Linked DNA regions of Lonchura striata. The protein of the gene in region 4 binds, or shares a complex with, the protein of the main gene of each other region. Links are inferred from orthologs where the notes say so. Each region holds a gene or a part of one and is shown on either strand. Other genes may lie near its edges.

Region 1 (7,834 bases), on a different chromosome or scaffold from region 4:
GGATTTCCTGCCAGCTCATGAAAGCTATGCCCAAAAAGCATGACTGAGAAAACACACACACACAAAAAAAAAAAAAAAAAAAAAAAAAAAAAAGAGGAAAGAAAAATAACTTCTGAGTTTGCCCTGAAATTTCTGAATCAAAGTCAACAATCTTCTCTAGTAAAAAGATTTATATAGAATTAAAACAAAAATGCATACTATAAAGTTAAATATGGAAATCTCAGATTCAAAAGATACAAGCCAAGTGGGATACAGAACATTAAACAGGATTCTAGAATAGCCTTACAGTGAAGTGTGTGATGGCCACTCCTGAATTTTTAAAATTAAGAACTACACACAATGTAAACTAAAGTATCAATATCCAGGAAGGCTTTCTGACAAGTACCATGTAAAATATAAGGAAAACGTGTGAAGGTAAATAAGGTTAATTAATATCTTAAAAGTGGATATTTTTAATGATGTCTTTAAAGACCTCAAGTCTTACCTTCCCCTTTCTTTTCGAGTTTCTAACAGAAAAGCAACATTTTTTTTTTTCTCAGATCTTGTTAAAACTCGATTCTTTAGCCATGTAAAAGAGGGAAAATTTGACTGTAAGTGAAAGTCTAGAGCACCATGTCCTTTAATTCAGTGATGGGGACCTTCATTCGATTACCTCATAGCTATGGGACAAGACACGGCAAAAGCCAAATGATAAAATATTAAATTATATTTTCTTCCTCCTCAGGCAAAGAGTGAGTATAGCATTAGATTAGTTTGAAAGACTAAAAAGGAAGAAGAGGAGTCTGCAATATGCATCACAAGTGACTAATACAATTTTTAAGCCCCGTTTATTCATATAATCAGGCATAAGCACTTATGCTAACTGTGGAAACCTCGAATGTAATACATAGCCCAAATGAATTCCAGATTAGTGCATGCTTCAGTGTTTCATGTTCTCCCTTGCACATGCCTAGTGAAAGCCTGCCACTCTGCAACAGAGGAAGGAATTACTACAACAAAACCATAGGCAGACTTTGCCAGAAACTATACTTTTTTTTGAAATGAGGCAGAATAAGCTGAGTGTTTTAAGTAATGGATAGGTTTGCATCCCACTGTCTAGCAGCAGTTATTCCAATTGTGTTTCACAGCTTCATCAGAGAGGCAGAAATATGAACAAACTATAGGAGCATTCTCCATAATCTGCACTGAAACAAATGACACTCCCTTCAGTCAGAACATCTTCCACCATTATGGGAAAGGATTCATTTATCTTTCAGCTATAAACCTGAGTTAGCTACATGTTCACCATACTGACATCCCAACATTTTTTAATCTTATGATGTCAATCTTGCATCTACGTAAAAATGTGTATTTCAGTGTGTAAAAAGATCTCTTGCTGCTGACAACTCAAAGTGCATTAACTTGGGAAGCCTTGAGATTTCCACACACACCCACACACTCCTTTCAGTACAGATCTCACTGATTAGAAAACAAAATATCCACAACTTAATAGACCTTTCACACACAGTGGCATTTCTGCAGAAGCATACGTTTCCAACACTTCAACTTTTACTTTCATCACTATTAGCAAGTTATTTTCCCAAGTTATTTCCTACACACACACCATGCCCAGTGCCCCTGCTGAAACTACCACATTCACTGAAACTGAATGAGCTCCTAGTGAAACATCAGAGCTTAGCTGTAAATATGTGTAAATACTTTTATTCTGTGCTGCTTTCCTGTTAGAATACAACATGCATCAAGGTCACTGTAACAGATTGCAGTTTTCAGGCTCATAGAGAAGACACTGAGGAAATCAGTAAGAGCAAACTTAAATAAGCAGTGTTTAAAGTTCTGCCTTCTCCCAAACCTGCCCAGAATTCACATCTCTGTTTCCTGCATTTCAGTCAGGTCTATTCACAGGTTCGGGAACGCTATCACTGCTGAAAGGTGAATAGAACTCGTTCTTTGCAGTGTGACCGGTCTGTTCTGAGCTCTCCGAGTTTTTAGCTACAGATTACAGCCCCATGGGCCTCTCCCTTTGAAGTGGAGTTCCTCTGAATTAGTCCCCTGCCTGCAACCTGTCCTCCATACACTGAAATAAATTACAGTCAACTTTTCCCTTCATTGCCATGTCAAGTGTAGCAATAAATATCCACAGGCTAAAAGCAAACAAACAAGACTGGACGAACCATAACCTCACAGCAAGAGCATCTCAAGGAAGAACACCAGGCAGGGCACAAGAAAGTTAAGGGCATAAAAATCAAAACTCACTATCTGAATCCATAAGTGCGTATGTAAGGCTAACATGCTTCTTGCCTCTCTCCCACAAGAAGCACGGGTGAAAAGCAATTAAGGGGCTCCTACAATTTAGTTAGAGTTCAGCAAAGAGGAGAAAGCATTTTACATTATGAAATGCCTGGGAAAAGGCATCATCTCTTTCAGTTGCAGAAGTGGGAAGCGTTGGGACACGGAGCTTCTTTCCCGGCTATGCACCGGAGCACCGCACCAGCGGTCCGCCCGCGGCGGACTCCGGCGGAGTTGGAGCGGGGCTCCCCTGCAATCCCGGCCACCAATCCCCCCCGCACCTCAACCCCCGAGAACTGATGCTGGCGCCGCCGACCATCCGGCCTCGAAACTGGCAGCAACCGATCAGCAGCTGCAAAAAAAAAGTCACTCGAGACGAAGGAAACGCAGCGAAAAGGAAGCAAGAGCTTACTTGCCTATACAGCACCGCCGGACGACCTCCTCGCAGCTGAGAAACGCTGTGCCGCTCGTCCTCCTCCCACCGCTCCGTGCTAGTTCCAAAATAATTCCTCCGGGCGCCGGCACATCCCCGGGCTCAGCCGAGGAGCGCAGGGAGCCCGGCCGCCTCTCCCCCCCGCCCGGTGCCCATGGTGTCAGCCACAGCTCCGGCAACTCGCGCTCCTGCCCGCCGGCGCTACCTCGGGGCGGGCCGCCGGCTAACAGGGCATCGCAGCCCGGCCGCCGCCGCACCGGCTCGAACTCCGCCGCGCTGGGGGGGAGCGAGGGGCTCCCCGCGCCCTTCCCGGAGACGGAGCGGGGGCGCCGGGCGGGGGCGTGCGGGGAGCAGCGCCGCCCCTCGCGGCGGCGAGCGGCCAGGCGAGGCGCGGCCAGGCGAGGGGAGGCGAGGCGGCGCGGCGCCGCCACCGCGGCCGCAGCCAGGCGCGGCGATGCCGGCCCCGCCCGGGACCCCCGCCCGCCCCCCCGCCGCTCCCGGGGCGCTCCGTAACGCCGCCCCGCTGCCGGCGCCAGCAGATCCGGTGACGCGCAGCCCTCCCCCGGGCCGGCCCCCGTGCCGGAGAGGGGCGAGCGGGCGGCGAAGCGGGAGCCGCTTCCCACGGGCAGCGGGAGGGTGAGCTGGACCACCGGCGCGCAGGGACAGAGCGGTCCCGGGCGCGGCGGCGGAGCTGCCGAGCGCCCGGGGGAGGCGGTGTCTCCTGGGCTGCGGGAGAGCCCGCTCGCCCGGAGCCCGCGGAGCTCTCCCCGGTCCTAGGGAGCTGCGGCTGGCCGCTCACCCCGTGCCCGGCAGGAAAGTTATCGGCTCCCCCTCTTTCCTCACTCAACCTCCTCTTTAGTTCAGCTGCCTTGGCTGCCCTTTCTGCCAGCTGTGTGACAGGGTTTCGGCTGGCCGCTCGCCAGAGGGACTGTACATCGATCCCCCATGTAGGGAAGAAATTTGGTGCCGGTTCTATTACTTTGCCTGGCTGGCTTGGCGCGGCACCGGCGCTGCCTTCTCCGCGCCCCGTCTCCCAGCCTCTAACCCAGAGCACGGCTCTGCGGCGACCACCGCCACCGGCGCACAGCCAGCGCCGCTCTTCCGGGCTGCCTCGGACAAGGAGGGGGCCCAAAGGGTGCAAAAGGGGTGAGGGACAAGCTGCCCTGTGCCTCGCGAAAGCCCTGCGTGATCCTCGCTCTCCCGTTCCGCACGCTCGTGCTTCCAGCAGCGCGCACGGTGCCCGGCCGGAGATCCCCCGCAGGCATGGATGGCCCTCGCCGTCGGACAGCGCTGCAATGACACGCTCTAACGCAGCTATCAGTCACTTACACAGGCACACCCATATATATAAAACATAGATATGTATGTACATGCATGAACACACCCCCATACGCATAGGCGGCCGCCGCGGGGAAACCGCATCTCCCCGCGGATGGGGCCGCCAGAAGTCGACCTGCCACGGTGAAGGCAGGAGGAGAATGAAGGCGGCGGGGAAAAGCAGCAGGAGAGAGCCCGAGGGGAGCCGCCACCGGAGCCGCCTCTCGGCGCCGCGCTGGCCGCGGGCTCCCGCGGCGATGCCGGCAGCCGGGCTCGCCGCCCGCCGGCGCTGCGGAGAGCTGCGGGCAGGGAATCCCGCGGAGCCTCTGCGCCTCCTTGGTGTCGGGGAGAGCCCGGCCCTCGTGGGGCTTTTGCCAAACTGAGAGTGAGTGGAGCAGCAGTGGTCTCACCCGCATGCTCTGGGGCCCCTTCTAGCTCTTGGGAATGTTTCTCTCTAGTTAGGCTGAGGATGTCTGGGAGGGTGTCACAATTAAAAGTTCGCTAGAAAGGAGATTGAGCTTTGCTGTTCCGTAGCTTCTCCGATAGTCCTTTTCCCTTCAACTTCTGTAGGCTTCTTCTAATGAAAAGTGGTTTTCACGGGCATCTCACAGTTAAGGGCTTTTCTTCAACCAAGTTGGCAGAAACAAAAATGTTTCTGTTCCTTATGCACTCCTTTTATAAATATTACCTTCAATAATGTGCAGTGAGCTATTGAGGGGGGAAAAGATTTAAACAGACAGCTTAATGCAAGCTAAATGCAAAGCTAAGAGAGTTGCTCCGAAGAATAAAGCTAAATGTTGGGTTGATAAGTGCCTTAGAAAATGCATTGATAAGTTTCATGCCTAATTGAACAGATCTGTACTTCATGTACTTGTCATCTTGAGATACAGATCTTTATCTTTCCTTGTTTACTAGTATTGAATTGATACCAACAGTTCTTGATAGCTACAAACTAACCAAGCTATTTGTCCTACTGAAAGATTGAATAGTTTGAACTGATAGTTCTTCTGACAAGACTGAAAAAATAAATTATTAAAATGGTACATATATGAGGACTGGGATGATTGAAAATCATGTCTGAGAATTTAAATAAATGAAATGTAATGAACTAAAAACTTATCAAAGACAGAAGTGAAGTGGAATTCATGCCCTGCTGGGAAAGTCAACACCCAAGAAAGAAATTTATAAACAAAGTAGAAACAAAAAATATTTTATTACCTTTTAGTTGCTTTGTCTAGAGTCAGTCCCATACTCAAATTTCAACAGGGACAACGTCCTCAGTTTTCGCTATCAGAGTCACCTATTGATTATAGAATCAATACATATCCTGTTCCCCCATCTGTAGGAAGAGCTGTCATTTTTCATGGAGACCTCCCACTTCATTCTTTGTGTGATAATGTAAAGTGGATAGCTCAAGCAAGAAAGGAAATTTCATTTCACAAGAGGAAGCTGTTCTATTTTAGTGCAGTATCTTTCAAACTATTTTAAAATATATTAATATTTATTAAAAACATATTGATATTTATTAAAATACATATAGGTTGCAAGTTTCATTACCACTAAGAATATGCTGAAGATGAAGTCTACCAAACCAGGTGAAAAAAGTGTGCAGTATTTTTTATCATTATCAACCACATTGTGTGAAATAAATGTGCATTCCAGTTTTACACACAATTACATTCATGTTACATTCATGTTGTATTTTTGCTTCAGGCAGAACAAACACAAAATAAGATTTTTACGTATACAGAAATCAGATGTCAGGTAAATTTAAGATGTAGTCAACAACATGAAGCAACATTTATAGTCAGAGAGGTGAGCCAGAATTGTTTTTATGTAGTATGGAATATGTTAATTAAGAAATTTCACGTAATAAGATGATGGTAGATTGGCATCTGTTTTAGATTCTTCAGCTTCAGCAGCCTGGCACCACTCAAGTCACCAACAAGGATGGAGTGACAAAGGATGAGAAGCATTAAAAATGGAAGAAATGGAGGCTAAGCATGAAGAAAAATTGTCATTACTTAAAAAATATGAGAATGAAAGGAAGAATTTTACCCACCAAGCAAGCGAGTGACACTCTTGGTAAAACTGTATTGACTACCTATCTGCAAAAGATCATTTTTCTTCTTTTCTGTTTCATAAATGACTACAGCATCCATTTTTTTTTTCTGAATGTATAGCTCACTTTGAGTGTGGGCAGGGCTTCTGGCATTTGGCAGCCAAACCCTTATGCATGTGTCTGTCACACATAAGCCTCCCTCTGAAAATGCTGGGAAATAAAGGGCAGAGAACTCAGCTTTGAAAAAGTGCATGGGAAAAGAAACTACCAGTTGTAGTGGCCAAGTAACATGAATGTATGAGAAAGATGTTTAAATGCTTTGGGAAATAGAGAGTGGTTTTTGTCCAACATCACTGCAGCATTAGATTTTCCATTCCCGTAGCGTGTCCTACCACCTCTGGGAACACATCATGGCTGATAGGTTATTAATTGGTTCTGTGAGAATAGAATTAATCTATTTTCAATATCCACTTTTGGAAAAGAGAGCAGTCAGAGTAACAAATGTAACACCATCAAGGACAGGTGTCACACTTTATAGAAAGTGGATCACAAGGTCATCGATAAGCTCCTTGGTATTTTGTGTATCAAGGTGCACATGAAGAGCACATTCCCAATTCCTGATGATATAATTTTGGTTTTAACTTCCATTCACAGACTGATAATAATCCACACAACTATGTCAAAAAATATGTGAGTATATTCCCTCTTTTTTCCCCATTTAGTCTAAACTAAGCTTCACAAAAATACTCCATTTACGAGTATCAGGCACCCTTATATAAAATAATGTGTCATTTGTCACCATGGCTTGTAATCTGAAAATATGACTGGGGAACTGATGGAGACCAAAATAGTCTTCTACAGTCTGTAGGTGGCCAAAATATTCTGCAGCTATATTCCATAAAATTCCTTGCTGCCGTGACTTCTTTCTCAAGAACTCTTGTCAGTCCACTTAAAACTCTCACTCACATGGGCCCAAAGAGAGACATGGGGGTTTGTTCAAATTGTAACTAAATATAGTTATACATTAAAATTCCTCTTTTCTCATGTAAACAGGATAGTAGCAATTCCATAAATTCTGCGCAAATTTTTACTTTGAAATTCTGGGCTTTTAAAATCATCTAAAGGCTTGAAAAATTTAAAACCATACAGCTTGAAACCTAACAGCAGAGAATCTCAAGCGACACTGGGAAATTCATAGTCTTAATATCATTCCTTAATCCTAAATTATACATGCAGCCTGTATATCATAATCAGTACTGTTATTATTTATGGTAGTCTATAAATGGCTTGCATCTCATTAATGGGTATTTTTAACAGAGAAGATAATTTGGATAAAATTTTAACAAAGGATTGTAACTACTCTCAAGGAAATTATTAGCATTATTTGCCTTAGTAATTAATTTATTAAAATAAACTATTACAAATCAAAAGAGACAAGTAAAACATCATGGGCTATAAACAGTATGACCTAAGAAAATTATTGATTATATTTTTCTGTTTCATTCTCAACAAAAAACAATTATATTTGCTTTCTCACAATTATCCTATTTCTTCAACAAAAGGAGATAGAATTCCCCTATGTGCATTTAAAAATTAATTGTACACATTGCAAAGTTTGAAAATGTTTGGGTTTTTTTTTTACATTTGGAAGAAAAATAACTCATAAAAATATAATTTGAAAATAACTAATGTACATTCTGTAGGATTTATGAGTCTTCATAAGAAAACAAAAAAAA
Region 2 (7,458 bases), on a different chromosome or scaffold from region 4:
CCTCATCAGGATAGACAGCAGTTTCCTTGGGACATCTGGCATTTTTATAATTCCTTACCTACAATTTCCAAGTCAAAAACTTATTTTTCTAGTTGTTTGCCTCTAGCTGAATTCCAGACACTCATCAAAAGCCAATCTCTCATTTTCCTTTGCAGCTGAACAGGGGAGAGATAATATTAAAAAAAAAAAAGTTAATTGGTTGAGATAAGGACAGGGAGACATCACTACCAAATACTGTCATAGGCAAAACAGATGCCAATTACACATATTAAGTTTATTACTAACAAAATCAAAGCAGAATAATGTAAAGTAAAATAAGACCTTAAAAACACCTTCTCCTGACCCATCCCTTTTTCCCAGCTCTATCTCCTCCCCACAGCAGTGCAGGGATATGGGAATGGGGGTTCTAGTCATTTTATTACCATTGTTTCTCCTCTCTCCACAGGTCTGCAGGACTCTGCTCCAGCATGGGCCTCCCACAGGGTCCCAGCCTCCTCCAGGCATCCCCCTGCTCTGGTGTGGGGCCCCTCCATGGGCTGCAGGATCTCTGCATCCCTGTGGATCCCCACGGGCTGCAGGGGCAGGGCACAGCTGCCTCACCATGGGCTGCACCACGGGCTGCAGGGGAATCTCAGCTCTGGTGCCTGGAGCATCTCCTGCCCCTCCTTCTGCACTGACCCTGGTGTCTGCAGAGCCTCTGAGAGTTCCTCTCATGTTCTCATCCCACTCTGCTCTGGCCACAATTACACCAGCACAATCACTTTTCTTTTTCTTCTTCTTAACTGTTATCTCATAGGCATTACCAGCAGTTCTAATTGGCCCAGCCTTGGCCAGGGGCACATCCCTCTGGAGCTGTCTGGCATTGGCTCTGCTGGACACTGAGGAAGCTTCTGGCAGCTGCTCACGAAAACCAACCTTGCAGTCACCCTACCAAAGCTTGGCCATGCTAACCCAATATACTTTAAAAAGTTTTCTTTGCTTCCCTATATCTTCCCACAACAGAAAATTAAGTGGCAGAGCATTTATTTTGTTAGTAAAATATTAGGTGTAATTAGATGTAATGAAGTTCACAAAGCAATTAAGTTTTACAAAAGGCCTCCTTCCTGATTAATACAGAAAATATTAACATCTAAAAACTAAAATGACATCTGCAAATCTTGGAGTTTGTATTAAGACAACAAATGGAATTCAGTAGCTTTGTGAATGTTCTTGTATTGACAGAGTTATGTTTTAATGTCTGCATACCTAAGTTTCCTGGAAAATTAAATTATACTCTTTCATTCACTTTTCTAGAAGAAGTCTTTAACCTTGACATCTTAGTAAAATAAATTATTTATTGTTTTAGTGCCAATAGTCTTCTGCTTCCACTCTCTAAGTCAGGAATCATCTGTGTGTATGTATGCTTGTATGTGCAAATGCAAAGCATGTCTATGAAAACAGAAAGAAATAAAACCCGGTCATAATATGATACCTTCCAGAGTCAGCAGTTTGCATCTGTCTTCATGCATGCTGATTTTATTCAAACCTTTTCACAATTTTCAATTTTCCTGTTGTGAGGCAAGTCAGATCTGAATGAAACTTCTTGGCAATTGTCTAATGTAACACCCCAAAATAATGAGTTTGGCTTAAAGCCATCTTATTGAAAACATTCTGCATTGTTTTGAACTGCCGTCTCTTTGCATGATTACTTTCTTGATGATTTGTAGATTTTTATGATAATTTCAAAAATTTACCTTATTTCAAATTATGGGATTTAATGTAATCCAGAAAAACAAAAACTCTCATCACTAAAATAGCTATGTGACAGGTAGCTTCCATTTACTTTATTTCAGAAATGGCAAAAGCAAAAAGTTTTGCAGGTTCAGAGATGCAGTAAAACTGAAAAAGTACAAAAAGAAGACAGGGAAGAATGCACACATGTTTTCAACTAGTAGCAAACTGGACAAAACATCAACTCCTAAAGAAGCTCATAGGTTTCTTAAGCTACTAAACCTGATCACCCCTTGAAATAAAGCATTAGATGAGGCCATCTCAAATTTGCTTAGCTCAAGTAAAAATATTTATTTTTTCCTAATCCTTTCACAAATTATATGTACCCACTCACATTCAGTACAGCAATACCATAGGAAAATATAATAATTCACTGAAGGGCATTTGTTAATTCCAAAAAGAAATTAACAATAATAGTTCCTTGGCTGTCGAATTCCAGAAATCATTTATGTAATTGTCATTGTTAAGATATGCCACTCAGGTAGTCACATATTGTGTACCAGGCTTCATTATATCAACTGACAAAGATTTTTACGTTTAAAAAATCACAGATTGTAGGTAAAGAGAAACATTCTAGAAAGTAAATTCATTCTATTTTACTTATCTCTGTCAGTAATTTCACATATATATTCCATGTACATTATCCTATACCTGCCATTTATTTTATATTTACACTAACTTGTATCTCCACTTTTTAATCCTCACTTTTATGCCATATTTATGAAGAAGATCCATGAGAAGCAATGCTGGATGAGGTAACAAGTTTGTAGTCACAGGAAACTATTATCCATACTGGCAAATACCTGCCAGGAGTGCTGCTGTTATTTGCTGGCTCTGGCAACTCCCATGGAGCAGTCCACCTTTGCTTGCTTTGGCTGTCTTTAGCCTCATACCTCTCACAGTGTCTGCATGCACCTAAGTCTGAATGGTCATGCAAGGCAGTGGCCCAGTCTCATCTCTTCCAACATTTCACGCTCTGGTGTGCTGTCATGCACTTTTCTACAGGCAGGGAGTGAGATAAATGCCTTTTTATGCACAGGATGGACCGGGGCAGATTGGCTTCAGTATGAACTCCAGCTCTTGAGCAGAATGGCATTGATTCCTTGCTGCATGTCAAACTCCACACCTCTGTGCATGGTAAAGAAAACAACTCAAGCACAGGTGGAGGGCCCTGAGCAGCACTGGAGAACAAATGAAATCCCATAATCCCACATAACTGCCCTCTTGTCCACCTCTTCCCTTCTTCTCCAGGGCTCTGGTATGTATGAAGATCAAACAGTCAACAGGGATGATGTCAGGTATCTTTTGACCAGGAAAACATGGCAAGAGAGGAATTCATTCTAGGGTAAAGTACAGCAGTGGCAACCAATATTTTTGTATAGATTTACCTCCAAGAGAAAGATTATGCATGTTTCTTTCTTGCTTTTCTCATGCGCTTTAGCAGGGGGAAAAAGCCCCAACTCTTAAAGTAACTTTATAAGAAGTCTAGCTAACTCCAGTCATACTTTTATTTTGTGTATGACAAAGGCAGAGGTGTCAAAAGAGAACAGAGATGCTTTTTCAAATTACATTTAGGTAAGAAAACAAAGTTATGCACATGAAGCACATATTTTTAAATCAAGTGATAGAAAAAATTAAGAGCTTTCCCTTCTCTCTCCTTAAGAGTCAAAATATACATCTACTAATAAAGTAGTTTGTTAAGGACCGGAAAGAACTTCTTTGCCTTGGGATCAGCTTCAACATTGCTACCACTGGACTGCAAGAAGCTCCCCCAAAACTAATAGTCTGGGCCATGGACCATGATCAGGAATTGGATGGAAGCTAAAGATGCACGGGAAAGCAAAATCTCATCACAATGTTTAGGACTGGGGGCTTTTCCTGGCCAAGTGCTACACAATGCCGAGGGTATCAAGAATACTCGACGGACGACAGGCTATTCTTGGTTTTGATTCAGAGATCAGCGAGCAGGGCTATGTGCGGCTGTCGCTTGTGATCCAACGCGAGGCGCAGCTGCCCGCTACGGGCGCGGACAAGGCGAGGGGGCTGCGCTCGGAGTGGCAGCGCCCTCACCCCGCCACGTCGCCCACCTTCCCCCGGCAGCAGCAGCGCCCCTGCCCCGCCGGGGGGACGCGGGAGGCCGGAGCCCCCGCCCGCCTTTGCCCCGCGGGGCGGCGCGGGCGGGCCGAGCGGAGCCGCGCGGTGTCGGGGAGGAGCGCGGCAGCGCTCGCAGGAGCACCCAGAGCTCGGCTGTCGGGATGAGGCCGCGGAGGGGAGGGGAGCGGGAGCAGAGGCACCTTCCCCCGGCGAAGAGCCAAGTTAAATAGCCAGCGCCACGCCGCCGCCTTCCTCTTCCCTCCCGGCTCCGAGCCCTCGGCGAACGCCCCCGTCCCACCCCGCCCCGCCCGGCCGCGGGCGGCGGAGGGCAGCGCGGAGCCCGCCTGCCCCGCGGACCCGCCTGCCCCCGGAGCCCGCCTGTCCCCGGAGCCCGCCTGCCCCCGGAGCCCGCCTGCCCGCGGACCCGCCTGCCCCCGGAGCCCGCCTGCCCCCGGAGCCCGCCTGCCCCGCGGACCCGCCTGCCCCCGGAGCCCGCCTGCCCCCGGAGCCCGCCTGCCCCGCGGACCCGCCTGCCCCCGGAGCCCGCCTGTCCGCGGACCCGCCTGCCCCGGACACCGCCTGCCCCCGGAGCCGGGACGCCGGCGCTGCCGGGAGGGGCGGGCGCTTGGGAGTCGGTGTTGGAGGCGCCGCGTCCCGCCGAGCCGCCCGACTGAGGGGACTACGCCAGCTGCATGGGAGGAGATGAGCGTGGCGGGGAAGAAGCCTCCTCCAGCACCGCTCGAGCGGCCCGGCAGCCTCCTCGTCCCCACCTGGGCAAGTACCGCTCTCCCTCGGCCCGTCCCGGTGCCAGCTCCCGCGGCGGGGCGGGGGTGGGGAGGGTCCCGCGGCGGCGCTGCCCGAAGAGCGGGAGGGAGGCGCCTGCGGGAGGCACGGCGAGCGGGGCGGCGCGGGCTCGGGATGCCGGCGGGGCTCGGGATGCCGGCGGGGCTCGGGATGCCGGCGGGGCTCTGCCGCGGCTGCCCGGGCGGGACGGCCGCACCCCGCCTCCCTCCGCAGCCGGGAGGCACCGGGGCCCGAGCGCGGCCGGGCGGGACGTGTCCCGGTTGATCCCGGTCGCGATTCTCAGCGCGCCGTGACAGGCTGCAGCGTGAGGGTCGAGCTCCCCGGGGACCGCCTTGCATCACTCAGCTTGAAACCCAGCTGCAAGCCTGAGATGATAAATTAAAAACAAAACAAAACAAAAAACCAAAGGTCAGCTACTTGGATGTATTTAGCATCTCATGCACTTTTAGGAGAAGCCCGTGAGGGAGTTAGAAAAAAACTTGCTACTTCACGGCAGCGTATTTGGCAAATCATTCATGAATGATGCCCTCTGACGGCGGTTCTCCGCTGTCCTGGTTTGTATAAAATGTAGTAAGTCTGTCCTGCAGACCTTTTAAAACCATTACAGACTCTGTGGTTTAACACGCCACTCTTCTTGGCATGTAAAGTTGTTTTGTCATTGCAATAGTTTTCGATCACCAGCTAAAAATTTATTCATTGTATTTATATAAAATATGTGCTGGTGCTAAAAAAACATTTTGGTGACCACAACCTTTCAATTTTTAAAAGAAAAATTGTATTTATCTTCCTGCTGTTTTATCCAGAGTGTTGTTTAGAAGGTACCTCAGTTGCATGAAAGCTGACTTAGAGACAGGTTCTCCCTTAGAGTGATTTGTAACTACTTCAAGCTTCTGTAATCATAAAAATGAAAGTAATATTTGGAAATTCAAATGTAGAAGAAAAGGGTAGAGGATACCTATAATCATAAGCATGTCTGGCAGTTGCACATAAATCTGTGGAAACAAACTGTTGTCTTGTCTGAGAAGCTTTCACAGCCTGTATTTGCATCTATCTTTTGACTGTGTGTGAGGAGATGCATAAATTTAACCTTTGAGGTTTTAGAATTTCTATAGTTCAAAAAGAAATAATGGAGTTAAACCTACTGTGTTTTAAAATTGTTTCACAGGTCTTAATTTGTAAGACCTGTTCAGGAACTGCAAAAATAATCTGTGCAGCAATTATCTAAAATGTTAACAGCTGAGTAGGTTGTATGGCAGTTCAGGATATTTCAGTGTTAAGGGTGAGGAATAATCCCTATCGTTAGGTGAAATTTATTACTGGTATTCTTCTAGTTGTGTCAAATGTGTATGTTTAAGACCAATAGGACATGCCATTTCTGCTGTTACTCATAGGACTGCTGCCTGGGACCAAACTAGGCATGGACCAATGGTGAACTGACCTCTTGGACAAGAGCAATAGGAACCAAAGGCATGTGACTACACAATGTACTTTGACCCTAAATGAGAAATAATGCTATGAATCTAAGGCTTTGGCAAGCTGTCTGTTTCTAACAAACAGACAAATTTAGTCTCACTTTCTTGGCTATTTCTAACAGAGGTATGTGATTGAAAGAAGGAATGAATAAATAGTAAAAAAGCCATTTAGACTCAAGTTCAACTGGGACATCTTATGGCAGATAATTGCTTGGCTCCCCAGATATGCCACGTACTGAACTTCTGAAGAAAATTATGCTCCAAAAGTATTGAAAAAAAAGAACTTGATTTATTATTCACGGAGTGACAAGTGCTTGACTTGCATCTTCTTAAGTTATTTAGCAGTATTGGAATCTAAACCTGTTTACTTTGTTAAAAGAAAAATGTGTATTTTAATGCCTGTGTATTGACTGTGTGCACATTTTTCTCAGAAATAAGATATGATAACAGTAGTTAGTGTTTAATAAATATTGCTTGCTGAGTCAAATTAATTGTTTGGGATTCTAGTAGCTAGACAATATTACTGCTAAAAGATAAGTGGGTTGTTTTTGTGTTTTTTTTCTCTTCAGAAGGATAACAGTTAAATACTACGCCCTGGAAAGTAACTCAGCATACTTCTAAATTAAAGACAATTATAGATTTGTAATACAATACTATTTTTTTTGCATGTATGTATCCATATGTATCTGTATCAATTATCTATAAACTTCTTGAAGTGCAGTTGTTTATGTTCAGTTCTATAGAATGAATTTTCAGTCAGACCTTGTCTTTAATGTTTTTCCAATCTCAGTGTAATGAAACACCTGTTTCATTCAGTACCAGACATAGATTCTTACTCATCCGATTTCAAAAATCAGTACATGTTTCCTCTATCTGTAGTGAACTTTTTGTTCTAATTTCTCATATAATCCTTTCCACCCTTTGCCCTTGGAAATACTCAAGGGGTCATATATCTTTGTAATTTTTACAATGTTAGAGTGCTTGTGCCATGTTCTTACATGGATTTTATGGTCTCATTGATCTAGTATGCATTAGTTACTGTGGTTTTCATTGTGTTGCTAGAAACTTGGAAGGAAATGATAATGTAAGAGGTACTTGTACTATTGATACTGCACGAAAGAAGAAATAAATGTACAGTTCATTGCTATGTAGAAATAGACCTTTTTTGGTTTTGGGTTTTTTTTTTAATAGGGACTATTATCTTAAACTTGGGCATATTATATGTAGAAGATCCAGTTTTCTAATAACTTCTATACACAACCAGAAAAACAGCAATAAGTAGGCTGTTCCTTTTTATAGCAGAAACCCAAAGATATAA
Region 3 (7,929 bases), on a different chromosome or scaffold from region 4:
GATGTCATTTTGTGCATAAAATCATTCTAGTATGTGGAATGAGGTAAAACCAGTACCATCTGAGAGCATCTTAGCTGTGCATCTGCCACTGTTGGTGCTGCAGGCCAGGAAGGCCCAGCTGCCAGGTATTGCTGAGCTGGATGGCAGGTGCAGACTGGAGAGGCAGAAGCATAGGCTTTTTGGGGGTTGTCCTGGGTTTAGCTGAGCCTTTGCAAGGGCTCACCACTGCAAACCCCTGGATGACCCTGGTAGCAGCAGTCACATCCTGCAGAGGGCCCTTGTCCCTATGTCCCCGAAGACCTGGCAGAATGGGCAGCCAGCTGGAACACAGTGCTGGTGACAATCCTGGGTTGTCTGGCCAGTTACAGTGACACCAGGGAAGAGATGAGGGGTCAATGCCCAACAAGAACCTCAGGGGGATGAGCTGTAGCAGTGCTTCAGGCCTTATCCCCCAGCCTTTCTCTCTCAGTGCAGAGCAGCCTGGCACAAAAGGACACGTTTTTCACCAGAGGCCAAACCAATGTTTTATTCCTTGTCATTTCCACACACTCAGGAGGCTGTGCCTGGTCTGAGGTCACACTGGGCCACTCCCACTTCCCCTCTGATTGAGCCTGGACACCTTGTCAAGGCATATCCCAGGCCCAGGAGCTGACCCCAGTGCAGGAGCCTCATATGCTGTTGCTTCCAGTTCTGCTGGCTGCTAAAAGCAGGGTTGATCAATAAGTGAAAAGCCTGAGCTGTCAGATGGTTATGCTTTTAGATTGTTACGCTTTGCCTTGCAAGCCAAGGGTGTCTCAATGTACCAAGAAATAGGTGGGCTCTGCTGAGCACCTGTGATGGGACAGGAGCTGGTTTCTGATGCCATGCCTAGAGCTCACAGGAGTCACTGGGAGCTTTCCCATTCAGGCCAGTGGGCTGGGCAGCAAGTTTCCAAAACCAGCCCCTCTGCATCATCTCTTCCTTCAACCCTTGAATTTCCTTTTTTTCCTTTGCACACAAGCTTGGATCACAGCATCCCTCTGCTTCTAGCCCATGCAAATTCCTGACTTAAAACAGCAGGGAAGGAGCTTGAGGCAAGGCACTCTCTCACTGCATCCAGCCCAATGGGCACTAGCCAATAAATAGCCTTTCCTGAGCCACACAAGTGGGTTTTGTTCACAAAGCCACAACACTTTTAATAAGCTGCTTAAGTCTAGTGCAAGCTGAACTCTAAGGTGTCTGTAATCACAGCCAGTCCTTCTCCCGGAGGAGCAATGCTGCCTTGCCTCTCTCCAGCATGAGCAGAAGGGGCTCACCTGCTTCCCACCAGTTCACTCATGCTCAAAGAACTCATGGCAAGCAGCAGTGACCATTGCAATAAAGGCCACGAACTCCTGGAAGTCGCACTCTGCATCCCCATCGCAGTCCAGTGCCTCCATGACTTTGTCCACAGTCTCCTGGTCTTTGATTTCCTGAAGGGATAGAAACAGGCAGCCAAAGCTGAGGAGGACCACAGCGAGGCCCAGACAGTAATGTGTGCCCATTTCCCAAGTGCTCTCATGGCTGAATCTCTGTTCAGACACATCCCAGATATTTTGTGGATGTTCCCAGTCTATGTGGGGCGTTGTCCTGTGCCCCAGGGAATTGCAGCTACAGCTGTTGTGCTGGGAAGTGACATCTTGAACCCCTTGGGGCAAGGCTGTCCCCCGTGTCAGGGAAGGTAGTTTTCCTAGTCCAGCCCACACCTCAGTCTGTCATATAGGCTGTTCCCCTCATCTTGCTGCTCTGTAGAGCTGGGACAAAGGATTCAATGCCCTGCTGTGTAAATAAATGTCTTTGCCTGTGCAGGCTTCCCGTGGGAGACAGAGTTAGGGGAGTGCAGGGGCTGTTGGATGGCCCCTGAGCCCAGCCAGGCTGTGGGGAGGGCAGTACTTACCCCGAGGAAATGGGTCAGCTCGTTGTTGATGAGCTCCTTCAGCTCCGATTTCTTCAGCTTGTGCTTGTCTCCCTCCTTCCCGGAGTACTGGTGGAAGGCATCGATGATGGCGATCATCGCCTTCTCCAGCTCGGACATGGTCGTGGCGTGGCCCTGCGGTCAGAGGGGACGCTGGGAGCGCCAGCCTGGGCAAGCTCCAGCAATTCCGATGGATTTGGAAGCACGGCCACCCTGGGGCTCCGCCCGTGGATCAGCAAGGTCAGACCCTCGTTCAAGGGAGAGCTGGGAAGCTCTGGCAGCAGCCCTGGCTTCGGGGGGAAGGTCACAAGAGACCATAACTCTGCTGCTAGGGGCTCTCGAAAACAGCAGAGCCACAAGACAGGAGAGGAGAAGGCATGGGGTCTGCTCTGGGGCTTCAGAATGGTTTTGCTGTCCCTGCTGTCACAGGTCCCCTCGCCTTGCCTCTGCCTGCAGACCTGTCTCCAGCCCAGCAGTCAGGGGAACCCGGTAGGAACCAGTTTTGATGACTGCCAGCAGGTCAAAATGAGCACGTCACTCTCCCATATTTGATCTGAAGACCCTCTTGGGATATGATAGCAATTCAGATTGCAGCGTTCCCTGCAGATTTCACAAACGGGCAAACCAAAGAGACACTGATCAAAGAGGGAGAGCTGCCAACCCACCTTCCCAAAAGCCGGGAAAATAAAGAAGCCCTATTGCCTGGCACTCATTTCGTTCATATCCCATCGGTAAATATCTCCTGCCCTGCGACCTGGCTACTGTTTCTCCACCACACGCTTCTGAGTCTGATCCCACAGCCGATGTCCTCCCCCACTTAGCAGTTACCAGACACGGCAGCAAATACCCGAACAAAAATCCCCTTTTCATGCTCCAGCCCTGCCTGCTTGCCGTCCGCAAGGTTGAGCAGCGCTCCAGATCGGAGGTACGTGGAGCGGTGGTTCTGCCCTGCCGACACCCACCCGGCGTCCCGCGGCCCCTCTCACCTCCCCGCGGCCGGCGGGGCTGCGGCACGGCGATGCGGCGTGGCCGGGCGCCGCGGGGACCCGCCGCTTCTTATGGCCGCGGGGCAGGGGCGGGGCGCTGCGCCCGCCCCGCGGAGCCGCCCGCCCCGCGGAGCCGCCCGCCCGCCCCGCGGAGCCGCCCGCCTGCTGCAAAGCCGCCCGCTTTGTTTTCTGAAGGGGTAAGGGGCATAGTTGCAATCAGCCAATTTTTCTAAGTGACACGTATATAGGGATATATCCGGTTTCAAAATGTATTGCAGTAAGCTTTTTTTTGTTTAAAGAAGCACTTGGAGATTATCCCTAGACCCAGTTGTTACACATTACAAATAAATCTATTATGGTGCCATTTATTTGTTCATATTTTTCAAATATAGAATGCCTACTCTCTGTTCATTAGATCGGTCTTTCAATGCACAGAATGTGAATCAAGCTTGCGATTCAAAGATGTGAATGCTCTGTTCTGCTCTGAACAGTGAGTATGCAAAAATAGCAATTCTTTGTACATCTATGTTTACTACAGGTCATTGGGAGCACACTATTAATATTGAACACCCTTTTTCTGCTTTCTACTGTTTTAAGATTGTAGAGTCAGGCCAGACAGGGAAAATAAGGTTATTTCAATTCGCTCTGCTTCACCAAACATACCACCAATAAAATGCTTTGTCAAACTGAAAGCCTTGCTTCTTGTGCAAAGCCATTTATACCATGGGAGTGAAAGCATACATTTTGCAGTCAGTGTGAGCATAAAACTTATACTTTTTTGTGTGTATTGTTCAATAAATATTGAAATATTAAAGAAATAGCCACCTAACACCAGAGACAGGTGAAACTGCAAATGTTTTGAACCAATTCTGTGAAGGGATGTGTAAATCAACATGCAGAACTCAGAAAAATATGAGTTATTGTTTGTATACTGATTCACACTAGGAAAAAAAAATGTCTTTTTAGAAACTTTAAAAAGTTATCTCAAACCTAAATTCTTTATTTACTTTTAAATGGGATCTTGATATAAAACTTGTTCAGAAGTCCCCTGCCAGCCCCAGCAGCCACCATGAACTGGCATTAAATGCACTTTTATATAAACCCTGTTGCTGGACAGACATATTCCCTGGCAGTTTTCCCAAATCTACTGATCTATGACACTGACTTTGTTACTTGAAAAAAAAAAACCAACAATCAAAAAAACCCCAAAACAACAACAACAACAACCCCCCCAAAAAAAATCTCCCAAAAACATCTACATTGATAATTTCCTTACATCAGTTCATAAAAGTTTTTCTAACAGGCTCAAATTGATTTGGGGAAAAATAATTTCTCCAGCATTAAGGTTGAATTTGTTGACTAAATATTTACATGACCACTGAAATTCTTGCATTTAGGGTATTGCAAACGACAACAGTTATCTGTGCTCTGGTGGGGCTAGCAGGGACAGCAGGGATGCTTTTAGGTAGTGGTGTTTCTAGTGTGGAGGTATTTTGTCAGCAATTTTTGCACTATTTGATTTTTTCCAGGAGTACTTGCATTCCTGTAAGAGCTGGCTATAAATGGGGCTCTCTGTCAGCAGGAAAGAGACAGCATTTTTCTGTTGATAGAAATTTGATCCGGTAGATCTCTAGCTCAGTCCTCAGCCAAGAAATGCATTAAAGCAAACCTTTTCTAGTCAGAGACAAGGTCCTAGATCATCTCCTTAAACCATATTCTGATGTCATTCTGTAAAGTGACCTTTCCTTAAAATGGAACAGAAAAAGTAGCATTTGACAGATCAAAACTTGAACAATCTTAAAATTCTCTTTCCTGGTGATTCTTGCTGCCATTTCTCCCCAAATCATTCCGACTTCTATATTTTACAGGTGATGATCTGGAATTATGTCCTGATAGGGTGGGAAGGAGCAGCAGGATCAGATGTGAACACCAGAAACCTTGACCCTCTTCTACTTCTGCTAATGAGCAGCTCCAAGAGACTTTCCTGATTTTTATCTGGCCTAATATCCTTTGTAAAGGCTGTTTTCCTGGCCTGGATCATCCCTAACCCAGCCTGGGACAGTCCAGGAGGTCTGGATATGAGTATGGGGCTGTGAGTGGTGCTTTCACTGCTGCCCAAAGAGTAGCTTCTGTTATTCTAAAATTCATGTTCTGATCTTCGAATAGGCAGGTGCAACCTTGGGGCTTCTTTCCTCAGGGTCAGAGCTTCCTCGCCAGAGTTTTGGGCTGATGTGTTTAAAGAAGCAAGAGGGTTTTTCAGTGCCCAAAGCTGAGCAAAACACTTCAGCCCTCTGCCTGTCTCCTCACAATGTGGGCTCCTCATACCAGGAGAAAAGACAGCCTATTTCTTTGTCTCTCGGGTGTGTGTGGCGCCAGGCTCTGCCAGACCATGAGACAAATGCCAGTGGTCATTGAACTGGGACAAAAAAAGTAATGAAAGCAGAGGAATTTGGGTGGGAGGGTGAAGAAATTGCCTGTGCCTCTGCAGGGCTGCACTCACAGTGCCAGCACACACAGCAGCTTTGCAGGGAGCAGGTTCCCTGGCACCTACAAACACAGCAGCCAGAGGTGAGCTACCTCCTGGCAGAATCCAGATGAGGTTCAGACACAGAAAAACGTGGATGAAAACAAGGTCTAAATAACAGGAATTTGGCAATTATTAAAAATTTTTGGTGCAGGTGGGTTGTATAGAGACAGAAAAGTAAAACTAAGTTGTTCATCCTCCATCACTCCCCTTAGGCAAATATTACCATAAATTATCTTAAGATTTTGGCATCCATGGACAAGTGGATACTTTCATTAAACTCGTTTCGGGCAGAGTCATTATGACAGGTTTTTTTTTTTTTAAACCAAAAATAAACAGACTATTAAGCCTCAAATAGAACAACCATGTCAGTGAACTTCTAGTTCTCTCTGTTCATATAAACTGCTAGAGAAGCAGCACAGCTCTCCCTGCTGAGGACCAGTGGGATGATACACAAGTCAAATGTATTATCCCCATTCATTCTCCCTCCAGGAAAAGTCCAGCACTATCCAAAAAACATTTTGCTCTTACTGAACACAGCCAGGGCTGAACTGAGTGACCTAATCCTAGTTTATGAAATAAATACAATATTAATTATTTAATTATCAAATAAAATCATTGCATCCTTTGCAGATAATCCCTGATGTTATTTTGGATGTGAGTGAAGACCTGTTTGCTAGAAGAGGAGTATTTTGAATTAAGCTCATAGTGTGCATTATATACTGTAAGTATTAATGATATGTAAGTATTAATAGACAGGCATTTTTCTGTCCTGGGGTGTTGATGGGTGCAACATTTGTGAGTAGCTCTTTTGTCTCTGGGCAGTGCACAGACATGGAACGGCTTTTCTTCCAGTTTAGCGTGGGCACACGCGGGTCAGGGTGCGCTGTGCCAGGGCTGGCACTGCACCCCGACACATCTCCCCAGTCCCTCGTGGCCCACATGAGCTGGGCACCAGGCTGGGCCGGAGTTGTTTTGTTACTTCCATTAACGACGGAAACCGCACGCCTGGACTTTGGGGGTGCACGGAGGGGGATACAGTCGCTCTAGGGGCTGGCGCTGTCACCCAAAGGGACAGCTCGGCTGTCGGCGTCTGTGGAAGGGATGGCACTCCTGTGCCAGGGGCAGATGTGCGACGGAGGGGCGCAGCCCCAGCAGCTTGCCGGGGCTGTCCCGTGACGGGAGGGCCGGGAGGAGACGGGGCGGGCCGGGCGGAGATGGGGCGGGCGGGAGGAGATGGGGCGGGCCGGGAGGAGACGGGGCGGGCCGGGCCGGGAGGAGACGGGGCGGGCCGGGCGCCGCCATTGGCTGCCGCCCGTGAGGCGATGTGGGACCAGCCGGCGGCGGGGTCGGGGCGGCGATGGCGGCGGACGGCGTGTGAGTGCCGGCGGCGCGATGGAGAGCGGGGGCGGTGTGTGGGTCCCGGCGGTGGCGGCCGCGGCTCACGGTGCCCGTGTCCGGCAGGGCGGTTCGGCGGCGCGGCGGCCCTTGGCGCTCGGCGGCGGCCACGGAGCTGCCGGACTGGCGGCTGCGCTGCGAGGGCGGGCGGCAGCTCTGGCGCTACCTGGGCGATGGCGAAGGCGATGCCGGGGAGCGGCGAGCGCAGACGGCGCTGGAGCAGCACAGCCTCGGGCTGGACACGGTGCGGGGGGCCCGGGCCGGGGCGGCGGGGCCGTGCCCGGGGCGCAGCGCTGAGCTGCCCCTGTCTCCCCACAGGGCGCGACGCTGCAGCCGCTGCCGGCGGCCGGCTCGGCCCGGGAGGCGGCCCGCAACGGGATGCGGTTCTACGCAGCGCTGCAGGCCGAGGATGGGCACTGGGCGGGCGACTACGGCGGGCCGCTGTTCCTGCTGCCAGGTAGACCTGGACACCCCTCCCAGGAGTGGGTGCCCTGGGGTTCGGCTCTCTACAGTGCCGGCCTCTCTGGTCCTCCAGGTCTCCTCATCACCTGCCACACGGCCAAAATCCAGCTGCCCGAGGGGTTCCGGAAGGAGATGGTACGCTACCTGCGCTCTGTGCAGCTCCCGGACGGAGGCTGGGGCTTGTGAGTACCAAAGATGCTTCTTTGAGTGATGGTAGCTCCAAGGTGTAGAACTTGGAGCTGCTGTCAGGTCTGCCCAGGCTCAGGGAGGGGGACTCGCTACCTGTGATAGCTGTGGGTGGTTGGACTTGCTTGCGCAGCACTCCACGTACACTGTTTGTCACAGAGGCGTCCATAGCATCAAGTCTGGCTACATCTTCTCTGGGGCACTATTTCCCAAAGCATCATGTGTGACAGGATAGCACAGAGCAATGTTTGTTCCTGTATTAGTCAGGTCCCTCTTTTCCAAAGTCACCCCTAGCATCCCACTTCACCCTAACTAAGACAGCCTTGTGCAGTAGCTTATGTCTGGCTAATGGCAATAGCTGACTAATGGATGTGGTGTTTCTGTGTATGCTCCTGACAGACACGTGGAAGATAAATCAACAGTGTTTGGCACAGCCCTCA
Region 4 (7,680 bases):
AAGTCCCGAGTCTGTTTGTTTGGGGTTTTTTGGGATGCTGATGAGGGACAGATAGATTTTCTTTTTCCAGGGAATCAGGTTTCTGCCATCAGTGAAGCTGTTGTGCCTTTTGTTCCGTTCCCAACAAGGAACCCATTGAGCATTCTTTGGATGTATCTCCTACCTGGCCCTGAAGCCAACTGAGTCATGGCTGTGCTCTGCACTGCCTGGAGCAGGTATAAAATACAGAAACAATTGTTATTAGGAGAGACCTGTTTCTCTCTCCCTAAATGCTGAAGGCACCTCTTTCCCCACCTCTCCAAAAGCTCATGCTTGTGTTAAGCCTTCCTACCTGATCCAATCAGTCATTAGGCCAAAATATTCCTGGCCAGGATCACTTCTCATCTTTTATAAGTATATTTTTATGGTTATTTTGGGATGTGGCTTTTCAAGGCTGGCTGTGTGCAGTGGTCTCTGTTTAGTAAGGGGACTGAGAAGTGAAATGCTGCCAGTCATATATTGATCTGAAATCAGACATAAAGTTTGGGGTCCCCCAAAGGAAAATCGGTTTCTGTGGTGTTTGGGCTTCTCGTCAGGATTTCTGAAATTTGCTTCCAAGCCTAAAATGTTTTCTTTTCTTTTTGCTGTGGAGTGATGGCATCCCAAACTCCAGGATGGGGTAATTAGGAGCAGGTATCTGTGAGTGCCTCCTGCAAAGCAGGACCAGACTTGTTCAGCTGCAGGATGTCAGCTCCAGACCGCAAACCCTGGAATGACATTTTCCTCTCCCTGGAGCTGGAATTCTGTTGAAATGTGCTTTTGTTTTCTCCTCCCCTCTCTGGAGAAAGTGGGACCTGTGTGCTCTGGAAGCAGCACAAAACCGAGGGTATCTTTTTGTATCCACTTAAAAGCCCCATCATTTGTTTACAAGTTCTTAAACCTAAAAGAACCATAAACCCTGACTGTACTTGGTGCTGTGTTTACTCAAGTTTCTCCCTCCTGGGGGACAGTGCAAACAGCCCTGGCAACTTCAGTTCTGTTTACAGTTTCTGATAGTTTTCTCTTTCATGCTTTCACTCCCTCACATAGCCCTACACTGAAATAAGCTAGAAACATAGCTGTGTGCTCATTAAAAACTAAATTTGATGGATAACTTGCTCTAAATAACTTCCCACCTGGGCTGCAGATCTGTTCTAAAAATTAAATTAGAAAAGGTGAGGAAATGCTTGTATTTTACATGGGGTTTTGAAAAAGCCTTTTTCAGGTAGGTAAAGGAATATTTTACAAAAGAAATTCTGTGTGAGGGTGGGCAGGCCCTGGCACAGGGTGCCCAGAGCAGCTGTGGCTGCCCCTGGATCCCTGGCGGTGCCCAAGGCCAGGCTGGACATTGGGCTTGGGACAGTGGAAGGTGCCCCTGCCCATGGAATTGGATGAACTTTAATGTCCCTTTCAACCCAAAAAATTCCACGATTCCGGGTGCAGTTTGAGCCACAACCTCTCGATGTTTGGAGGCAGAACTGGTCCGTGCAGCCTGCAGAGCTCTGCTGGGTGCTGAGCACAGGGAGCACGGGCAGATCCCAGGTCCTCAGCAGTTCCTCGGGAACCCAAAAGGATGGACAGCTGTGAAACAGCTCCTCTGTGTCCCAGGAACAGCCAAAGCTTAGGCCAGAACCACATGGAATTGGGCAAAGCATTATGGACCGGCCGTGCATAGATTTAATTCCAAAAACCCAAGTCGCCTCCCACTCTCCCCCCACATGCTGTGAGGAGATGTGTGGGTTTCAAACAGATGTGCTCCTCCTTCTCTTCGGGTGCCAAGGGCTGCATCCTGCGCCGGAGCCACTCGCTGGTTGGCATCCAGGAAAGGGAAGGTGACTGATCCAGGAGCCGGGCAGCGATTGTGTCCATGACAACCGGCAGACACGGCCTCGCCGCCTCGCTCGGCTCCTTCCTTCCCCAGCGCCTTCCCCGGGCACATCCCGGCTCGCGGCTCCCTCGGCTGCATCCAGCATTCCTGAGAGAAAGGTGCAAAGCCCACAAACGAGGCACATTCCCTGGAGCCAGCAGCTCGGTCGGTTCTGCAGCAGAAATCCGGGGCTGGAGCTGTGTGCTTCACCGAGAGGCTCCGGAGCTGCGGATGGGGACGGGTGGATCCACTGAGATACCGCGCGGGACAGGGGGGCTTGGCAGACTGAGAGTCTGCGGGGCCGGCAGGCAAAATGCACTTTATTCTGACAAAAAAGAAATGGTTTAGATGTGCTGGATGCCTTCAGAAATGCATCTGAGCTGAGCAAGGGAACGTGGTGCTGACCTGTGCAGGAATGTCGGCCGAGGTTGGAGGTGTTTGCTCCACAGAGCCTCAGTCTGCACAATCCCTGTTCAGGGAGCAGGAACTGCCTGGGCTGTGCTTCCTCGAGAGCTCTGCATCCCACTGCCTGCTGTGGTGCAATTCCTGCATTCCGACCACTGCCTGGACCTGCCTTGGAAAACGCTGGCATTTGAGGCAGCTGCAATCACACCCAGCGTGGAGGAACAGAAAGAAATCTGTCAGAAAAGCAAAAAGCTCTTAGAGGCAGCCAGTTTTTCTCATTTCCAGGGCCCCTGCTTTGTATCTTCAACGTGGTTTTTACCACGCTACGGAAAAATGTTCCTGGGATCAAAACAAGGTGATCCATCATCTCATCCTCCATAGTGGCAAAACAAAGCAGAAGAGGCAAAGAAATGAGATGGTGAATGGAGAGCCAGGGATTAAAAGACAGGATGTGGAGTTCAGGTTCTGCCCTGACACTGAAAACCTGACTCAGTTTCCCTGTGAGGACAACAACGAGCTTTGGATCTGATTGGTCAATATTAAAAGTACAAAGAGGGTTGCTGCAAGCTCTAATTAATTGACTGTCTTAGCAAATTAGAAGAGTCTGTAAATTGTAGCAGATATTTGGGATTCAGCCTTGCAAGGAAGGTCTTGTGCCTGTGATCTTTTTTGCATTTCCTTGGGTGTGTAAAAGCAGCAGCCCACAAAGCAGGCAGGGGATGAGATGCCCATGCATTCAGAAAAAAAGAAAGGATGCAGTGAGCCATGGGAGCACTGGGTTACTGTGGCCATGGGGAGAATCACTTGGCCAGCTTTTGGAGCAGTCAGGCAAAATTGGATCTGGTAGTGATGATACAGATCAGTCTCCATCTGCTCTGGAAGTGCTTTGGGGGTGTCCTGGTTTCAGCTGGGATAGAGTTAATTTTCTTCTTAACTGGCTTAACAAATGTTGTCAGCGTTTCTGCAAAGGAAAAATGTTACACAGCCAGCCAGCTGCAGAGGCAAAAATATCTACAACTGTATTGGAGGAGGATTTGATGGTTTTAAAACCAAACTAAACCCGCAGCATTTTGAACTTCTAGCAGCACTGACAAAGCATCCAGCTGATCCCAAGTCTCTGTTTACCACAGCAGCAGCTCTTCCCAGCCTGCAACTGTCTCAGAAAAATGCCAGGCTGTATGTTTTAATCACTGTATTTAGCCATGACAGTCACCCAAACAGCAGATTTTGCTTTTTGCACCCTGCTTCCAGGATCAAGGATGCTTTTTATAGCTGTTCTTTGACTGGAAATAAATCCTGGGGGACACCGCTACCTCATTTCTCTTACCCTGACATCCTGGACTTAGCAGCAATTTCCTGTGGCACATTTCACCTTCTGTTAATCCAGCTTGGATTCAGCATTACCTGGAGCAGGAATGGAGGGAAGGTCAGTCTGAGAACTTCTGGCTTCTCTTGGGCTCCTGGAGCTGGCGATGGAGAGGCCGGAGCGTTTCCCCCCAGCATCACTGTGGTGTCACCACAACCTTTTTTGGGGTGTTATTTACTTTTGAGATACTGTAGAGCTACCTCAGCAAAATCCTCTCCTTTAACAAAAGTAGCTGCAGAGAATAATCACAAGTCATTTGTGGTCTCCCCAAAGTCTTTCATTTGCTGTTTTGCTAAAAGGAGTGGACAGGGTAATCTGGCAGTTTTATTTAGGTGAAGCTTCATGATTTCTGTCTTTGTCAAGTCCTGAGGCAGCATGTCTGTCTCTGTGTTATGAAATATGATGGATTTCCTGCATCCCAACCTGGCAGGGGTGGAAGCAGCAGCACTTCTGTCCCCATGCTCTCCATAGGCCTTGATCTGGATATTGCCCATGAACCTTTCACTGCGGCCTTCAAGAAGAAGACTTGATTTTCTACTGTAACTTTTCAACACTTCCAAAGTTATTTATTTGTAACTTAAAAAAAGCAATTGGTTGGACAGGAGGGGACAGCCGGGGGGGTCTCTGCTCCCAGAGAACAGGGACAGGAGGAGAAGGAATGGCCTCAGGCTGCCTCGGGGGAGGTTTAGGTTGGATATTGGGAAACATTCCTTCACCAAAAGGCTGGTCAGGCATTGAAACACGCTGCCCAGGTTGAGTCACCATCCCTCGAGGGATTTAAAGCCGCGTGGCTGTGGCACTGGCAGCGCGGGTTAGCGGTGGCCTGGGGCCGGGGGCATGGCGGGACTCGATGCTTCGCCGGGAGCTTTTCCAGCCCCGGCGATCCCGCGCTCCGACCCGCCGCACGCCGGGCTGGGCTTGCCGGATGCTCCGGGCGGGGGATCCCCGCAGCCCCTCCCCGGCGGCTCCCGCCCCCCGCCCCGCCCCGGCCCGGCCCGGAGCCGGTGCGTGCCCGGCCCGGCGGCGCTCGCAGCCAGCCCGGCGCGGGCAGCCGGCGGCAGCGATGCCGCTCGCCCAGCTGGCCGAGCCCTGGCCCGACATGGAGCTGGTGCATCTGGACACGGAGGTGAGCGGGGGGGCTCCGGGGCGGGGGGCTCCGCCGAACAAAGGAGCGCCCGGCGGGACCCGCGGAGCGGCGCGGGCCGAGCCGCGCCCGCGGCGGGGCAGCGCGGCCGCGGAGCCCGGCGCTGCGGGGCTCTGCTCGGGGCACCGCGGCTCGCTGCTGCCCGTGCGGCTCTGATCGTGCCGGGAGTGCAGGCAGCGCTCCCCAGTCTGCCGGGCACACGGCAAAGCGGAGCCGGCTGAAGGCCCGGGGAATAAAAATCTCAATTTTGGGGGTTTTCTCCCTCACCCTCCCAGCGCCGTCTTCTCGCAAAGGCCTGCGCCGCCAACTCCGACCACGCTCCGGTGTCACTTTGCTGGACTCTGCTCTTCCCTCCCCTTTGGCTCTTTTCCTCCTTACTGAGACCCCCAAGCCAGATGTGCAGGATGGAGCTCATCCCCTGTCCACATCTGCAGGCTGGCACAGCCATTTCTGACGGAAGGGACAGCTTGCAGCAGTTGTCACCCATGGCAGAGCAGTTGTGCTCTGTGCTCTGGCACTCTTCAGTTAAACGTATTCTCACTCAAACTGGAACCAGCAGCTCTCCCGGAGAAACCAGAGGGAAGGTGGGGGTTTGGTCCCAGGTGTTTCACAGACCCTGGTGCTTTCCTGTCGTTCTCTCTGGATTTCATGCTGTCACACTCCGTTATCATACCTGGGGATATCTCCGTGGTTAATTGGTCAGATTTGCTCATTCCTGTTTAAAATTGCCTCTTCAGAGGTCTGTGCTTTGAGCAGCGGCAGCGCTCCCGCCCCCGCTGCAGGGAGGCACTGGCCATTGAGGTGAGGTTTCCGAATTTTCATCAGCCAGCTATGGCACAGCTTCTGCAGCCCCCGTGAGGTGGGCAGGCTCTGCCTGGGCTCAACACCTGGCACGAAGGTGGCTGAAGAGCCTCTGCTCTGGAGCACCGGCGGAGCCGTGAGGAGGAGTTTGTGCTCCAGGCTGGGAGAGGAGGGAAATCCTGCGGCGATTCCCAAATCGCGTCATGTCCCCGAGCCAGGCCGTGGGTTATTGCTGCGAGTCGGGGCTTTTTATTTGTGGTTTCTCCTTCCTAAGAAGAGAGATGCCTGAAAAGCCAGGAAACGCCACTCGGCTCATAATGGGAGGAAACGAGTGCGGGTGCCCAGGGCAGGGGAAGCCGCGGGCGAGGCTCCATTCAGTGCCTAATCCCGGTGTCCCGGTGTCCCGGTGCCGGCGGGCGCCGTGTCAGCGCCACGGGATCGCTCCGAGCGGAAACGGCCGGGGGACCGGGCGGCAGGCACCGATCTCCCCATCGCAGGAGCGGCTGCGCTGCTCGGAAGCCGAGAGCGGAGGGAGCCTCTGGCTCTCCCTGCCCCGTCTCACCTTGGCGCAGCTCCGGGGCAGGGCCGGGCGCCACGCGCGGGTGGGATTGCAGCGGATCAGGTGTTTTGCGTCTCGGGAGCTCGAGTGGCACTTAGCAATTTGCCTCTCTTTGGTTTAAAATGATGAGTACACGCTCTTAATTCCAGCGAGGAATATAATACAGGTGTTCTTCACCTCCACACCTGGTCAGACGTTAGAGAGCTGCCTGAGGTCCTGCAGCAGAGCGGGAATGGGGCTTGGGAGGAGTGTTGCACTTTGAGGCTATAATCGCCAAGGGCAGGGGCCCAAGGGGGAAGTTTTCACCCCTCCTGGGAGAGGTGGCACCACTGAGAAAGCAAGGAGACGTTTCTGGAACACTGGTTACGTAAATTGCCCTGGGATCGCTGCCATCCAGGTTAGAAACCGGCTTCCTCCGACCTTTGCTTTCTGAGTCATGGAGCAGAGGTGCTGTCACCGTGCTGCTGGAGGCATCAGTCCTTTTGTTGAGGGATTTGGGGTTTTTCCACTATGTTCCAGGAGAATTGGCCGTGTGGTGCCCCTTGTCCCGGCCCACCAGAGCTCAGCCATGCCAGGGAAACGCGTGGGAGTGGGTGGCAATGGGAGCCTGAACTGCTCCCTGACAGGAGCCAACTCCCTCTGTCCTGGACTCTGGGCTTTACAATCACTGCTCCTGCTTTTATTCCCCTTGCCATTCTCTCTTCTGCTTATATTATTCCAAATATTGGTTATTGTAGCAGAAAAACGTGGCTGGGGCAGAGTACAAAAGCTGGAGAATGGAGTTGAGTGACGCAGAAATCCTTCCCTGGGAGGGTGGGCAGCCCTGGCACAGGTGCCCAGAGCAGCTGGGGCTGCCCTGGATCCCTGGCAGTGCCCAGGGCCAGGCTGGACAGGGCCTGGAGCAGCCTGGGACAGTGGGAGGTGTCCCTGCCATGGCAGGGGGAATGAGGTGGGCTTTAAGGTCCTTTCCATCCCAAACCATCCTGTGTTTCTTTGATTCCATGACTTCATCCCCATAGTGGTGGATCTGTCATCAGGGCTCCGCTTTGCTTCAAATTCTTCTTTCATTACACAAACCTACAACAATGCAACTGACGTGGGATTACGCCAAGCTCCACCACTTCAAGCTAATTATTTTTGCCTGTATATACGTATCACCCTTTATTGAGCAGGAGCTATTAATGAATAACTCTTTTCTCAAGCATGGTAGCTCGAGTTGTGCAAACTACGATCAAGAGACAAGGGAGACAGCTGAGTGGCTGTCATCCCTGATATGCCTTGTGCAGAGCCTCCTCTGTTTGGGCACTGGAGTTCCTTTGGAGATCTCTATTCTTGTAGAATTATTTCCTTTCTCCAAACTGTAGTAGGCAAGATCCATAAATTCTACTTAATGGTAATAATTTAAACATGCCTTGTTCTTGTGTCAAACTAGCAGGAGCTCTGGGGTGAAGGGTTTCTCCCTCTGCTCCTTCCTTGAGTGCTTCATGGCTCATCAGAGTTGGGTGGAAGAGCAGCTCTGG

What was found.
Region 1: the proteins of RPS6KA1 (region 4) and SNTG1 are in contact, whole or in part, in a crystal structure (PDB 7PC8), measured with the Homo sapiens proteins. The link is inferred for Lonchura striata from reciprocal best matches to the Homo sapiens genes RPS6KA1 and SNTG1. Residues at the interface, in NP_002944.2 of Homo sapiens: Arg728, Lys729, Leu730, Pro731, Thr733, Thr734, Leu735; in NP_001274742.1 of Homo sapiens: Gly67, Phe68, Gly69, Leu70, Ser71, Ile72, Lys73, Gly74, His78, Ile80, Ser85, His118, Glu119, Val122, Leu125, Arg126, Arg141.
Region 2: the proteins of RPS6KA1 (region 4) and SNTG2 are in contact, whole or in part, in a crystal structure (PDB 7QQL), measured with the Homo sapiens proteins. The link is inferred for Lonchura striata from reciprocal best matches to the Homo sapiens genes RPS6KA1 and SNTG2. Residues at the interface, in NP_002944.2 of Homo sapiens: Pro731, Ser732, Thr733, Thr734, Leu735; in NP_061841.2 of Homo sapiens: Gly82, Gly83, Leu84, Gly85, Leu86, Ser87, Ile88, Lys89, Gly90, His94, Ser101, Lys102, Phe104, His134, Val138, Leu141, Arg142.
Region 3: the proteins of RPS6KA1 (region 4) and S100B are in contact, whole or in part, in a crystal structure (PDB 5CSJ), measured with the Homo sapiens proteins. The link is inferred for Lonchura striata from reciprocal best matches to the Homo sapiens genes RPS6KA1 and S100B. Residues at the interface, in NP_002944.2 of Homo sapiens: Ala697, Met698, Ala699, Ala700, Thr701, Ser703; in NP_006263.1 of Homo sapiens: Ser42, His43, Phe44, Leu45, Glu46, Ile48, Val53, Val57, Ala84.

What each region holds. Positions count from the first base shown.
Region 1 is NC_134603.1:41,399,882-41,407,715, forward strand, and holds the start of SNTG1 (gamma-1-syntrophin), read right to left. Parts: upstream 3,007-7,834; 5' UTR 2,699-3,006; intron 1-2,698. UniProt on the Homo sapiens protein: Adapter protein that binds to and probably organizes the subcellular localization of a variety of proteins. May link various receptors to the actin cytoskeleton and the dystrophin glycoprotein complex.
Region 2 is NC_134605.1:95,018,646-95,026,103, forward strand, and holds the start of SNTG2 (gamma-2-syntrophin), read left to right. Parts: upstream 1-4,457; 5' UTR 4,458-4,566; coding exon 4,567-4,638; intron 4,639-7,458. UniProt on the Homo sapiens protein: Adapter protein that binds to and probably organizes the subcellular localization of a variety of proteins. May link various receptors to the actin cytoskeleton and the dystrophin glycoprotein complex.
Region 3 is NC_134610.1:33,263,899-33,271,827, forward strand, and holds S100B (protein S100-B), read right to left. Parts: upstream 2,996-7,929; 5' UTR 2,920-2,995; intron 2,069-2,919; 5' UTR 2,054-2,068; coding exon 1,916-2,053; intron 1,452-1,915; coding exon 1,311-1,451; 3' UTR 512-1,310; downstream 1-511. Other genes in the region: LSS (lanosterol synthase), read left to right, coding at 7,220-7,298, 7,377-7,485, 7,889-7,929. UniProt on the Homo sapiens protein: Small zinc- and- and calcium-binding protein that is highly expressed in astrocytes and constitutes one of the most abundant soluble proteins in brain.
Region 4 is NC_134628.1:279,867-287,546, reverse strand, and holds the start of RPS6KA1 (ribosomal protein S6 kinase alpha-1), read left to right. Parts: upstream 1-4,672; 5' UTR 4,673-4,719; coding exon 4,720-4,782; intron 4,783-7,680. UniProt on the Homo sapiens protein: Serine/threonine-protein kinase that acts downstream of ERK (MAPK1/ERK2 and MAPK3/ERK1) signaling and mediates mitogenic and stress-induced activation of the transcription factors CREB1, ETV1/ER81 and NR4A1/NUR77, regulates translation through RPS6 and EIF4B phosphorylation, and mediates cellular proliferation, survival, and differentiation by modulating mTOR signaling and repressing pro-apoptotic function of BAD and DAPK1.